Lepisosteus oculatus: one gene and its partner. The protein of the gene in region 1 purifies or fractionates together with the protein of each later gene. This does not show direct contact. Links are inferred from orthologs where the notes say so. Each region holds a gene or a part of one and is shown in the gene's direction. Other genes may lie near its edges.

Region 1 (7,763 bases):
TTAAAGAAAGTAAAATGGAAGATTTTAATTGAATTCTTATCTGACCACAAAGGTCAAACGACTGGAATTTTCTAAGTAGCAGGGTGTTGGGACAACTTCAGAATCTGAAATAGACAGTTTTACGTTTATATCGTATTAAGGGATATAAGCTTTATTCACATTGTATAGAACCACCTTTTGGAGTTTGTATAATACCATACGCCTCTCACTTCCTTAACTAAATTACTGGAAATCACGAGAAACACGCGGTTCCTTCTCTCGTCTACTTCAATTGGATACAACTGGCGAGGAAATTACAAACGAACATGCAGCAAAATGAAATTACAGTATTAGGCAGACAATATTTAAAAAAAAAACTTCCATGTTTGGTGTTGAAGCAAACAGACAAGTGCTAATTCTGACATTAAAACACACATATTATGAGATAGTGTGTAATTTCGTTCAGCCAAAAAAAATAACATAATATGAAAAATACACAGGCTGTTTTGATGCATACAGCCACAACTGCAAGCCCAGGTTCGATGCCACACAGTCACAGACTATCCAGCCTGCCAGTGCACAACGCAAGCATTCACTGCGATTTCATCATCCGCGATGCACTTCCACACACAAACTCCAGGGGGCGCGACACAGGCATTTATTTTTTAAAGAATTACTCTTACAGCATACTGGAAAAACAAATGCCAATTTAAAATAAGATTACAGAACGAATAAGAAATCTCTAGTAGGAGTACAGACTCTAAAATATATTTAAATGGGTTCAAGTTATTAGCTGTACGGTCACTTAGATATTTAAGGGATCTCCGCCTTCCAAAGAGAGCGGTTTCTTGGATACTGACAGCCAAACAGGGACAAATAACAGTGTGTAATTTTTTAACTTATAAAAAAAAATAACATTTTCCGCCTTCGTTTCACAAAAGATACAGCGTAAACTATTTCAAAGGTAATCAAGGTGTTTCTGAACGTTTCAGAAATACAGAATACACAACAGATGTATCTTTGCACCGTATTAGTTTTTAACTTACCTTGCAGCTGATAGGTGAAACCGGCACACTTGGTAGTGTGTAGGCGTACAGATTGATCGTAGTACTCGGAATGTAGCCATTGGATAAGGGGGGTGTATAAACAAATTAAAAAAGACAGTGAAAATAAGAAATTAAAGAAGAGCAGAAGCAGCCCAAACTGACTCCGGGAACGTCCAGGACGGAAGAGAGCCGGCGAGGTGTGAGCTTTTTTTTCCCTCTTACAGATGCTATGACGTCAATCACAGAGGGCCACACCTCCCCCCGTTCAGAAGAGTAGGGTTGCACTCGTAGCCACGCCCCTTCAATTTCTATTCCCGCCCGCTAAGGAGATTTCCATGTGTTTCGGAAGATGACGCAACAGAATTAATGAAACCGAACGCTCGACTCCGCCTTTTTCCGTTCGGTTGCGGAGCGTTGCATCTTGGGAGCCGTACGGAGTTCCGGTAGCGCGGTTTTCTCGAATGTAATAGTTATTTTCCTTTTTAAACGGTATTCTGTAACACAATTCACTTTAAACACTTCCATTAATAGTTCGTGTGGTGATTTCTACGATCTATGTTTTCAATTAATCTGTCGAGAGTTCTTTATAGCTGAGATGTGTTCTGAAGTTGCAGTATATGTACTGTTTATTTACAGTAGTAGGTCTTTATTTTGTTGTCAAGGAATTGGATTAAGAACGATTCTTTACAGAGCGGAACCTACGTGTTAAATACCTTACTAGCCTTGGCAACAACGGTTACCCTCACAATTGTCGATATTGTGAAATGTGACGTGTTTCCAAAATCTATAGATAATCTTGTATACAAATATTTTAACATTCCACCTTTCCAAATTGTGTTACAGGACATTTTCTGTTACCCACACAAGTAAAGTAGATTTAGATCATTTGGTCCCAGTGAATCTATTAAAACACATCTGAGCTGTGTAAGTGGTAACCCAGTGGTAATGCCAGCAGCCATATCACCCTGTGACTCACAACTGGCAGCCCCCTGAAGCTCGGTACCTGGTCAGTACCTGGATGGGAGACCTCCTGGGAAAAACTAAGGTTGCTGCTGGAAGAGGTGTTAGTGGGGCCAACAGGGGGCGCTCACCCTGTGGTCCATGTGGGTCCTAATTCCCCAGTATAGTGATGGGGACACTATACTGTAAACAGGCACCGTCCTTCGGATGAGACGTAAAACCGAGGTCCTGACTCTCTGTGGTCATTAAAAATCCCAGGGTGTTTCTCATAAAGAGTAGGGCTGTAACCCTGGCGTCCTGGCCAAATTTCCCATTGGCCCTTACCAATCATGGCCTCCTAATAATCCCCCTCTAAGAATTGGATACATTACTCTGCTCTCCTCCCCACTGATAGCTGATGTGTGGTGAGCATTCTGGCGCACTATGGCTGCTATCGCATTATCCAGGTGGAGGGGAGTCCCCATTACCTGTAAAGCGCTTTGAGTGGAGTGTCCAGAAAAGCGCTATATAAATGTAAGCAATTATTATTATTATTATTATAATTATTATTATTATAACCCCAAGTTTGTACTAAAGACAAGATTACTCAAAGACACATTTTAACACAGACATGCAGAAGGTTTGTTTGTTCAATGCATCAAGCCAATTTCACCTACATGTGCAGTGCAGAAACACAACAGCTGGTTAGCTACTTTCAGTTTAAACCTGAGTGGTGAAATTCTGTAACATCTCAGAGGTATGTGATGTGTGGTTGTGCAAAGAGACAGCACTTCTGTGGAAGGGTTTGGTAGGACCCTAAGTGTGGTGGGTCATCTCTGCGCTGTTGCCATGGTGCTGAAGGAGTGAGTGGAATGGTGAGGTGAAGAGACCGATTTGTGCTCTTGGGCTGCTGTGTGGAGTGGAAAGTGCTCTGTTAACAGCACCACAAGAGTGCTAAAGCAGTGAATTACTTAAATACCCTCATGCAGGGTGACCTTTTGTAGTCTGCAGGCAACTCTGAACCCCAGCTGAATGGTGAATGTCTTTACAGAGATCACTTTGAGATTGGTCACCACCTCCCTTCACTGTAAACACCACTGTTTGTCAATAGGATGGCAAAGATGTTTGAAGAATTTTCTTCAAAATCTTAATTATTTCTTAATGACTTCTATAATTCTAACTCTCCCTCCTTTTTTACGTAGTTGATTTTTGTCCTTAAGAATGCTGGAAATGCAGTTTGTGTTCGCTGTAAACATCTCTTAGGAGAACAATACTTTGTTGAAAGGCACACTTGAAATCCTGACAGCTGATGCATTTCTTGGTTCGATTTAGTTGTACTAACAATTATAAGTCAAACTAGCATCTAGTCAAGTTTAGGACCTTATTTACACTGTACCTTTGTAACCCCAGCTCTCTCTATTGCTGTCTTGACCAGTCATTGTTGTATTAGACTCTCTTCAGTGCAAGCAACATTCTTCAGAGACATTACTCCTTAAATTCCACCTGAAATGTTTCTTAGAGTTATGTGGTGTTACATAACACATTGGAGTGAATATCCTACTTAAGGAAAAATGTATCCATTCAAAGTGTTGTGTGATTAAGATGTTTTCAGCAATGAGTTCCTGGGGTCATGTCATTACAGCTCTTACCCTGAGGACAGGAATAACTCAGAAATGTCCTCTCCCACATGTAGGTGGAGCACTCTGTACATGGTTGATACTAACAGTCTTGTTTGAATTTCATAGGCAGCATATAGCATTCTGGCAATAAACAAGAGCATAAGAAAGATCACAAATGAGAGGAGGGCATTCATCCTGTGTTGTACAATGTGGTGAGGTATTTGCTAATTGATCCACAGATCTCATTTCCTGGAGGAAGCTGAAGTATAGGTTTAAACCACATGGCTGGGTAGCTTGTTTCATACCCCCACACTTCAGCCTTTGGGTAAAGTAGAGCCTCTTTTTTCTCAGTTTTAACTGCACTTCCACATAGGTTCTGAGGTTTCTCTGGTTCGTGTTTCGCTAATCATTTTGGAGAAGTCCACTTCGTTGACTTGGAGGATTTTTAATCTGTGCATCGGGTTCCCTTGTAGTCTTCTCTGTTCAAGACTGAAAAGATTTAGTTCTTTCTGCCGGTCAGTGACGAGCATTCTCAGATTTGTTTGAAGGATAGGTGTACCTTTACGTTCATTACTCTAATTCACCCTAACGGGCTGGAGCCTAACCCAACAGACACTGTACACAAGGAGGGAATTTCATTCATATTTTTCTCACACATCTACAGAAATGTCCTGGTTTTAATTCTTTGCAAAAACTGTAAACAATATAGATTCACATTAGAATAGTTTTATTATTTTTCTACAATTTGATGTCTCATCAAATACTTTGAAATCACTTGGCAAAGCACACTCCAGCAGATCTCATAGGTCACATTGAAATCAGCTTTCTGTAAAGGCCTGGAACGCATGCGAGGTTTGATCAATGAAGCACATGAATAGGTCCAATTAGGTCAGGAATGGTCAGCCACAGTGCTTGAGAGCTACAGGGTTTTGCTCTTTTCATTTCAAACGATCTCTAAACTACTTGATCCAAGCACTTAGAAACTAATGACATAAGGGTGACCCATATAAACTGTCGGATTGTGGCTCCGCCGCATGGACATGTACAGTACTCCGACTTGTGTTTTTGAGAATCAGTTAATACTGTACAGTACTTTAGCGCTAATTATCCAGAAGGGGGCAGCAGATGCGTGTTATTTGGCACAGTTCTGCACATCTCGAGGGCCAGTCTCGCGATATCGCGGTTGTACTTGCGGTCTGATTCCCTTCAGTGCGATGAGAGTCGCAACAAGGGTCTTTCGAGTCACTTTTAAATATTTCATTTTATTTGTCTGAAGTGGAGAAAAAAAATATTACTCCCTCAGAATCCTTTGTCTCTTATATTCTTAATTGTTTCAAGTAAGCAACGACCATTTTTTTTGTTTTTCTTCGTTAGTGGGAGAGGGCACAGTTGTGATCATCCGGACTTGGAAATGAGTTTCCTCTTGTAAGTAGAATGAGAAATGTTAATCTCTTCCTGTTTTCAGTTTAAGCGTTTTTATTTTGAACTTTTGTTTCAATTCTGCTGTCTAAAAGACTTCCTTTGTTATTGCCGTAAACTCTGGCACAAATATCGATGGTTACCCACTGAAACGACGAATTATAAACTTTATTTTCACGAAGCAAGAAGTGCGGTACGAAGGTTGTACCTCTTCAGATGGCTAATGGCGTAAATAAGTTGGGGAGGTGTTTTTTCTGTTGTTAACTTAGTCTGCTGGCACACACGCAAAAGACGGCTTATATAATAACCACCACCGCTACTCCGCAAAAAAGATTTATTTCAGCTTTCTCGAAACAATGAGAAAAAAGAAAACATTTTAGCGATCAAAGCTTTTGAAGAAGCCCTTGCAAAATCCGTGATCTCAGAGATCAATTAGACGGAACTGCTGGTAATTTACCCACCTCCACGGAAAAATGAGCATGTCGTCGTAGTTAATCTTAAGAAACGACAAAAAGTAAGTAAACCGTTTGGGAGAGGGCAAGAAGTCAGTATTTATTTAATTCTGGTCAATTACATTTACCATTCTTATTAACACAAAATAAACTAAAATTATGGGAGTTCTGCGCGTAATAGTAAATTGAAACCGTATATCTAGAATTTATCATCATACATTACATTGATATGTGATCTGAGGGGTTTTATTCGATACTTGCATCGTAGTAGGTGCATCATAGGTGCGGGTGAGCATTCGAGTTAAACTTTATTTTATATAGCATCTTTAAAGGTGGCTTCACAAAGCACTTTACAGAATGAGAACAACAATAAATAAAAAGCATAAAACACAATTACAATATGCAGAGGAGACCGTGGATGGTGGTACTCTGAAAAGCAGAGGGGTGAAGAATGGAACCAGTTAAGTAAAGGCTTTTCTGAAGAAGAGGGTTTTGAGTCTGGATTTGAAGGAGTTTAGAGAAGGTGACTCTGATATCCTTGGGCAGAGAGTTCCAGAGCTTGGGGGCATAACAGGAGAAGGCCCTGTCACCCATAGAATGTAGATGGGCTTGGGGGACAGTAAGGAGGGCAGAATTCGAAGAGCGAAGGTTGCGAGGTGGGGAGTAGGGCGATAATAGTTCAGACAGGTACTGAGGTGCCAAGCCATGTAGAGCATGAGGATTTTAAAGTCCACACAGAATTTTGACAGGAAGCCAGTTCAAGGACTCCAGAATAGGAGTAATGTGATCACTTGCACTAGACCTGATCAGGATCCTGGCTGCTGAATTTTGGACATACTTCAGTTTGTTAAATAAAATCTTAAATAAAAAGATTGAAAGTAAGGTTGCAGCAGTAAATATAATTTATGTATTCAACCTCCATAACCAGGCATTTTTTGGGGGGGCTCATGCTTGTATTTTTCATTTTGGGCATGATATGACAAATATGTTTATAGAATTAGGTGATATCTGTTCGAATGATTAAGTAGAAGATGATTTTTAGGACCGAGTTAAAAAGTGGAAAATTGAGAACTTGACTATCATATGACACTTCACATCCTGCTTCTTGGTGGCCTTGAGCCAAAATGCTATTTCAGCGATAAAACATCCAGCCTTGTGATTTTGCAGAACTAGAATACAAAAGGATGAGCTTTTGAGGAAACCTGAAGTCATCGAGCGAAGTAAAGTTGAGTTTAGTCCGCAGTACTTCGTTACTTATCTATTTTTTGGAAGTCGGAGCAGCTCAGCTTGGAGCTGGTTAGAATGGTTTCCAAGTCCTTGACATCTCCTGCTAAGGTTCAAGTTAGTGGCTGCATCAGCATGCGGAGGCTGCAAAAGGAACAAGTAAAGCATTTCTCCATGCTGGAAAGAGAAGAAAAGAAACTCAATGTGTTGGCTGTGGAGCCTTCTTCGGGTGTCTTCACACTTGAAGCCTAAACGTTGTTTCTAACCCCCTATTACAGTCTACCTGATCACAGTTTTTTATAAAGACACTTCCCCATGGCTTTTCTTACACAATGGGAGAGCCATTAACGAGACATTGTGAAGGTCGCCCCGGTTGCTGTGGTGGGTGGTGAAAGTACGCTCTACGAAGTAACGACTTGACCCGAAACTTCGTTTCTGTAACGGGGTTCTCCTCTTTTCTGCAACAGCGGCAGCCGCTCCTCCAAGACCTTCAAGCCCAAGAAGAACATCCCGGAGGGCTCGCACCAGTACGAGCTGCTGAAGCATGCGGAGGCCACGCTGGGCAGCGGGAACCTGCGGCAGGCCGTCATGCTGCCCGAGGGCGAGGACCTCAACGAGTGGATCGCCGTCAACAGTCAGTACCTCGGAGCGCGAGGCCACTTAGAAACGAGAGGTCTAACCTGTGTGGTCGTTAGTAGCCAGTGGATCTCGTCCAGACCTTAGTTGAAAGAAGCCAGTGGATGGGTTTCCACAGCAAGCCTGGGCAGTCTGTTCCAGACTCTCACAACTCTTTGTGTAAAGACAAGCCTCCTGTTCTGAGTTTTAAATGCGTTTGTGCATCGTTTCCCCTTTGTGTCCTCTCATTCGAGTTTCGGTGCTCGCTCTGAAGAAATCCAACGGGGTCGTCTTTGTCAGGGCTTTTTAGGGATGTGAATACCTACATAACGTCCCCTTGTATTCTTCACTGTTCAAGGCTAGAAGGGTTGTGTTCCAGAGAAGGACGTTCCCTTAAGCCCTGGAATGTATCTAGTTATTCTTCTCTGGGCTAATTCCAGTGCAGCAGCAATAACTTTGCTGTGATGTGG
Region 2 (7,087 bases), on another chromosome or scaffold:
TTCATTCACTGGTTTCGGTTTCTTTTACCGAATCCCAAACAGTTTGATCAGATCCCACATGAGCTCAAATGCCATGCCTTACAATTACACAACGTCCAAGAGGCCTACATCCAATGGGTCCAGCTTCTTTACCGCAACGTCACCAGCGTCGTCCGAGGCCCTGTGGGCACTTCACCGCCTTTCGCCATCAACGTCGGCGTTCACCAAGGATCGGCCCTTTCGCCCCTGCTCTTTGTGCTCTGCATAGACACGGCGATGGCCGACCTCCAGGCACCTCACCCGTGGTCGCTGCTCTACGCCGACGATGTCTTCTTGGTGGATGAAGAATGCCAAGAGCTCCAACACCAAATACAGAGATAGAAGATCCGAATGGACGAGCATGGAATGCGGCTGAACACCAAGAAGACCGAGCACATGGAGTGCGGCCCTCAAACGGATGGAACTATCAGCATCAGTAGTGAAGATCTCAAGAAAGTGATGCAGTTTAAATACCTTGGCTCCATCATCAGCAGCAATTGCGACACCCTCTCAGACCCCATGGCCAGAGTGAACGCGGCGTGGATGTAGTGGTGCCAGGTCACCGGCGTTCTATGCAATTGCTGGATGCCAATCCAACTCAAGGTCAAAGTTTACAAGACCATTGTCCGTCCTGTCGCCCTGTATGGATCGGAATGCTGGCCAGCAACTTCCAGGCATGAGCAGGCCCTCCATGTCATGGAAATGAGGATGATCCGGTGGTGTCTCGGCCTAACAAGATTTGACCACATCCTCAATGACGATGTCCGTTGACACATGAAGGTGGCACCAATAACGGAGAAGATATGAGAAGGAAGACTGCAATGGTATGGACATGTGATGAGAAGTGGCGAGCACATGGTGGCACAGACAGCGATTCGACTGAGCCCACAGGGTCGACGGCCACAAGGGCAGCCCAAGAAGCGGTAGATGGATCAGATCACTGAAGACATGCGGAAAGTGAATGTCGCCCTGGAATACACCTATGACCACGCCAAATGGAGATGGGTGTGCCGACAAGCGGCCCCTGCCGATACGGGATTAACCCTAGGATGAAGATTAAATGTGTTTGGCAGCATTTTGATTTATTGATTTTTCATGACTATGATACACATGGGTGATTTTGAATATTTTATGAATACTCACCTCATTAGTGAGAGAGTTGATTGGGCACAGGCGATGAAGTGACGTAACCTGTTGAATGTTAAGCCTGGTGAAAATCAATTAAAAACACACAGAATGGAACCAATAGTAACGGATTCAAGTCCTTTTCAGTGATGAATAAAGGTTTTGCACAGACCTCCATGATGGACATAAACAAGTGTGGTGCAGTCATGCAGAAATATACAGTAATATTTGCATGCAACAGACTAACTAATGGGGATATACAAATGTGATGATCGGGGCAGGAGTGTCTACTCACTATGGAAATCATGTAGTGACTGATGATCAAGTGGCTGATGATCCAGTCCTAAGATTTCTCTTTCTTTCTTCCCTCAACATTCAATCAAATGTTTGAGTGAGGAGCGTGTCAGTGTGCTTAGCTGCAAAAGGAACAAGTAAAGGTTAATTCCATGTTGAAAACAGAAAGAAAAAACAACATTTCAGCTATTGGGCCTCCTTCAGGTGTGAGAGGAAGATGGCACAGGTGAAAAAGGCCACACAGTGATGATATCTACAGTTAAGGGGGTCTGGAGGAGAGGTGTGAAAAGCTGAAATCTGTAAATAAAGAGGCTTAAATAGGAAATTAATCTGTTGTTGAGAGACGTTGGAAGGTCTGATCCAGCTTAAGAATAAACTTGGCTTCTGTTGTGTTTCTGGAATTGGAGTCCTGGAATCCCTGTAAAATGATGCAGACAGAAAGGTCTGTGAAACTATGTGAAAAGGGGGAAATATCAATTTAGACAGATTTTTGATCCTCACTGTGCTGAAATGTTCCCTGAAAAAGTCAGCTAGTCTTCCTCCAATCTCACCAATGCAAACGGCAGGGCATTTAGATAAAATAAGATCCTGGCCATATACAATTCATTGTATTACGAATTTGTCTTTTTGCATACCCCAACTTTCTCAACATGAGACACACAGGCACACAGACAGGGAGAGAAGCTTGGGGTCAGAGCACAGGGTCAGCCATTTATACAGCACCCCTGGATCAGTTGGGCTTAAGGGCCTTGTTCAGGGGCCCAATGGAGTAGAATTCCTCACCCGGCCACGGGATACAAACCGGCAACCTTCCAGCCATAGGCACAGATCCTTAGCCAAAGAGCATTTTCTGCAAGAGATGCAGTAAATTAAATTACTAAATACAAAAGATATTCTTTAACTGATTATGAAATAACTCGAGGGGCCATATAGTATATGCATCGCATGAGATACATATTTGCAGGTGATACAGTGACTTCTGTTATAGAAAATGGTGTTTGGTGTGGATGAGGTTGTGGGTTGTTAAAGGAACTACGAAAATGAGAGTTGTGTAGCTTAGGTGGTGGATAACATGTGGATAACACAGGGTGGTCTGGGAAAATTGTTGCATCCTGTAAAATAGAGGTTATCTTTGATGACCATGGGAATAGACAGTTTGATGGGGTGGAAGGGATGCACCAGTGGAATTCTGGGTTTGCAGTTAATGTTGTGTGTTGGGTTAATGTTGAGAGGGCTATTTGTAACTTGGGTTGAGGGCCTTGCCGAAGCTGTTTGTAGGGTATTTTCACTCAATGAAGAAAAAGAGCATTATAAGTGTTTGTTTATGAAAGTCGGTATCACCACTGCATAACTGACAACATCTGAGGATCTGTGAGGAAGGAAGGGAGTTTTTAGTGTGTGGGTGGAAGAAGTAAAGGAAGAACTGTAGGGCAAAACAATGTATGATCTACTCCAGGAGCAACCCCGCTGAATTGTTTGGGAATGAGCTGGGACAATTTGTGGCATCTAGGGCTTAGAAACTAGTGAACAGGCACATGCTTGTGCAGGCTGTATGAGAGGAATTGGACAGAATCCCACAAGAAAATAGCTGCCACCTGGTACAAAGTACGTACTCCAGATACATACCTTGTAGTTCTTCCTCTAGTGTCAACAGCCTGTAACTTTCACGGTAGACTCCCTCTTGAAGACAAATGCTAATCAGCAATGAATTTATGTCATGTTTGTTCAATAAAACATTCATGCATCTGCAAATATCTTTGTGAAACTGAAACAGTTACTTTGTGAATTTGATCCAGTTAAAGTGATGTTTATCTGGAGTGACGTACTGCTGAAGTAAAAAACACGTGTTTCCTTTTGGCCACCAGGGAGCACTGTTAAGAGAATACCATGTCTAATACTGCTGTATGCACTCTTTGTTTTTGTTTTTGTACTATATAGGTTGCTCTAAATCCAAGTGCAAGATTGTGCAATAAGGGGTAGTCAGAATCGTCAACATAAGTGTAGTTTGTAGAAATTCAGAGGTAGATTAAAAATTCTTAACATTTTTGCCTTCACAGCATTACTTCAAAGCACAGAAAACTAAACAAAATTTGTTTTTAAGTATACCCACATATAAAATATTTTTGCAAGAATTGAACACACATCAGTTTTGCGAAATATTCAGCATACGTCCTGTAGTTTAAGAAGTTGTTGAAAAGAGGGTTTCATTTTCAAAATAAAAAAGAAACCTAGATGCCTGTTATTAAACTTTCATATTTAGTTAAGTCCTTACCAGTTGATTAAAGGACATAAACCAATCATTTGTCTCATGGAGGTTTTATGAAGAGTTGATTAGTCCAAAACTGGGGTGCTTAAACTTTAGAAAAATGTCAGTATTCGTTCGTTATTGCTATTTTGTAGACCAAAGCAAACAAATTCAGCTAAACAGCTGAATTTTATGCGGATGATTGCCTTACAAAACCTAAAACTAAGCTCACTATTCGTACAACTTTTTTTCCCCACGTCTCTTTAAACAAAACTGAGTACCACTTTCATAATAGACAGGTCCCCCTCCTACCCCGTCATCTCCACTGGGTCTGGGAAATCCAGATCCTCGTCTCTGACTGATTGGATACGTGTTGGCTGTAAGCACACTCCTCCCAGCACTGACTGGACAAAAAGATTAGATGACGCCGTCCTGTGTTGCTGTCGTTGGTGGGCGGAGTTGGTTGCGGCTTTAGTTGATGTAATAGCTCTGGAAGGCAGGTAAGGTTTGTTTTCTGTGGAATTAAAAGGAAGTTTAGTTGGATTAATGCATTTATCAAATAAACTATTTCAATAACACCTAGCATTATGTGTCATAAAGGTTCACCGATGATTTCAGTTAGCTCTGCTTCATAGAAAAAAGGATAGAGCGCAAGAATAAGACACAAGGCCTAATGTTTACCATATTTGTATGCACACAGAGATAAACAGTGGAGGATAGTTGTAGTGTTTCAATGTTTAACAAGATTTCACCTTTCAGTTTTAAGCGTGCCGAGTTAAGCGGTAGCGATGGAATCAGTAAGTATTGTTTGGTAATTAGAGTTATCATATACCTCCAAATCAGTAAGTCACACGGTATTAAAGTCAAACTGGATTGTTTTGTTATCCGGATTTAAGGCAAAACATCCTATCGCAACCCTTATATGTTCCCTCCACTTAGTTTCATAAGTGATTACCACTAAATAGATGGAAAAAAAACTATTTTTAAGCCCCTAAATAGAAATAATGTTCTGTGATTGAGGTTTTAAGAGTATTCAGGTATTTGTACGTCATCTTCATTGAAAATGCAATTGACTGCATGTATGTACCAGTATATATTAATAAACATCAAATCTTTAATGCCAGAAAAATTGAATATTGGGCTAGTTTTTGGAAGCTGTCTAATTTGTATACACAATTTTATTGACATGGCTGGGGATCCCTTGGCTTATTTCTTTTTTTAAAATGTTTTATATATGTGAGACCAATAAATGATCTTGTTGCACTCTGCATTGATTCTAAATAAATAACTGAGGCTGCAGAACTTGTTTAAAATCTTGCTTACATAGATTAGTTTTCTGAGACATTTAATTTCACATGGCAGTGTTTGCAAGCAGGATGTGTCTAAATTACTCTTCATTCTGGTAGAACTAGTAGCATTTTAGGAATGGTTCTCTAATGTAAGACTGGGTGTCTGAAAATACTGTACTTCATACTAAGTGTTGTGAGAGAAACAAAGCAATAAATGAGCAGTCTCAAACCTCCAGGTTAATTAAATAAGTTGTCACTAAGGCATACCATATTATAATTATATTGTTTTATAGTTTTTATGTTTTTAAGTAATAGTTACATTTGTTATGCAACTTTATTACAACAGTGGTATTGACTTCTTTCTTGTGCTCATAGAGTGGTATGTATGGTAAGAGTGGTAAGTATGAATTATACTGAGGATCAAAAACACCAGTTTCTTTATGCATGAATGTTTTTTTTAATAATAAAGTTTACAGACTGTGGGTATTGCTTAAATAGTTTTGGTATCATTTTTATTTAATGATTATTCATTACTGGCAATAATATATTCAGTTAACATCATGTTTAAACTCTAACCCAGCTCATTAGTAAGAGTTAATTTACAAGTTGAGGTGACTTTACCTACTGAATCTCAAGTAGGGTGAAAGACAAGAAATAAAAATACAGAAAGGAAAAACATGACAGTCTGACAGTGCTCTGTTGCTTGATGTCAATTATAGGCTGCAGTTTGCAGCACCATGAGTGATTGATATCTTGCCAAGATTGAGACATCAGCATCTGGGTGTGATGGTCTTGGCTGGAGTGTATAGTTAGTATAGAACTCAACTTAATTGATTAATGGCAACCTGTCTGCATGATATTACCTCCATCAAATCCTTAAGCCTTTCTTGGTGCCATTTCTGCTTGCTCATCCTGACATTATTTCAAAAGGACAATGTTCCTTCTCATGTTGCACATGTAGCGGCTTAATTACATGGTAATTACTCACCCAGCTTGATCCACATTCCCACTTTTGTTGTGTGACATCTAGGGCTTACATATCAGTACACAAGTACATGCTTGTCCAAAGGTATGGGCCAAAATTATTCACATCAGTAATCCCATATATGTAAGCTTACTGTATGTTGCTTCCACTGCTTGTCACTCATGCTACTAGATTGAAGACCCCTGTTATTGACAAATGTTAATCGGCATAATGAATTGTCTTGAGTCATTAATGTTCAATAAACTCATTGTTCCTGCTGCTAAGAATATTTTTTCCTGATAATTTAGTTACACACATAAGTGATACATTTTTCTGATGATCAATATATAATAAAGGTGCATGTTAACTATACAAAATTGTCATTTGGTAGAATTGCACTAATACTTGAAAGTTACTGCATTCAGTTGCTGCCAGGCTCTGACTGGCGACTGTTGTGACTCATAGCTAATTCTCTTAGCTAGATTAGGTCTCCTTGGAGGAGACATTTATCCTTAAGAATAATTTTGCTTGGGCAATAAAATACATTGAAGATCTTTCTACTTTATAATACTTTGCCAGCAGTGCAGACAGATAGTTTTTGCTCTTTTCAAACTTCTAATTTAAAATATTTCATAAAATTTTAAATTTTATCTTCTCACATTATGAAGTCATTATACCTTGATGATTCTGTCTCTCATGTCAGGTTAACACATTTTGCCAATATAAATTTCAACTTGAATTCAATTGTGTATTTTCTATATAAATCAAGGAAAACATATTAAGCCTATTCAGCTATTGCTACAACCTAGGAATGCTCTGTATGTTAAATGGTTTCAGTACCGTCTTACTGAATTATTGTTTGTTGCCCATCTGTCTTCCTCTGAGTACTTTTTATCCAAAGATTCATGTGAGTTTCTCCACTTTTTACAGAAATGGGTCAGGAAGCAGGCAAGCCAGCCTGGCCCAAACCAGCTGGAGGCTATCAGACGATCACAGGAAGGAGATATGGCAGAAGACATGCATATATAGGCTTCCGACCAACTTTGGCAAAGCAAAACATCCCATCTCCAGAAAATGACATGGAGTGGCAGGGACTGGAGATGAGCAGTGTTCACGAGGAGAATCCTTTATGTGTGTCCAGTTCAACCGTAA

The links.
Region 2: the proteins of MOB kinase activator 1A (region 1) and pja2 purify together in Homo sapiens (affinity purification with western blotting; 3 studies listed by BioGRID). This does not show direct contact. The link is inferred for Lepisosteus oculatus from reciprocal best matches to the Homo sapiens genes MOB1A and PJA2.

The regions. Positions count from the first base shown.
Region 1 is NC_090697.1:68,319,173-68,326,935, reverse strand, and holds the start of MOB kinase activator 1A, read left to right. Parts: upstream 1-4,759; 5' UTR 4,760-4,994; coding exon 4,995-5,008; intron 5,009-7,145; coding exon 7,146-7,312; intron 7,313-7,763. Other genes in the region: mthfd2 (bifunctional methylenetetrahydrofolate dehydrogenase/cyclohydrolase, mitochondrial), read right to left, coding at 1,026-1,105. UniProt on the Homo sapiens protein: Activator of LATS1/2 in the Hippo signaling pathway which plays a pivotal role in organ size control and tumor suppression by restricting proliferation and promoting apoptosis.
Region 2 is NC_090698.1:29,445,394-29,452,480, reverse strand, and holds the start of pja2 (E3 ubiquitin-protein ligase Praja-2), read left to right. Parts: upstream 1-4,075; 5' UTR 4,076-4,182; intron 4,183-6,865; 5' UTR 6,866-6,867; coding exon 6,868-7,066; coding exon of another isoform or gene 7,067-7,083; intron 7,084-7,087.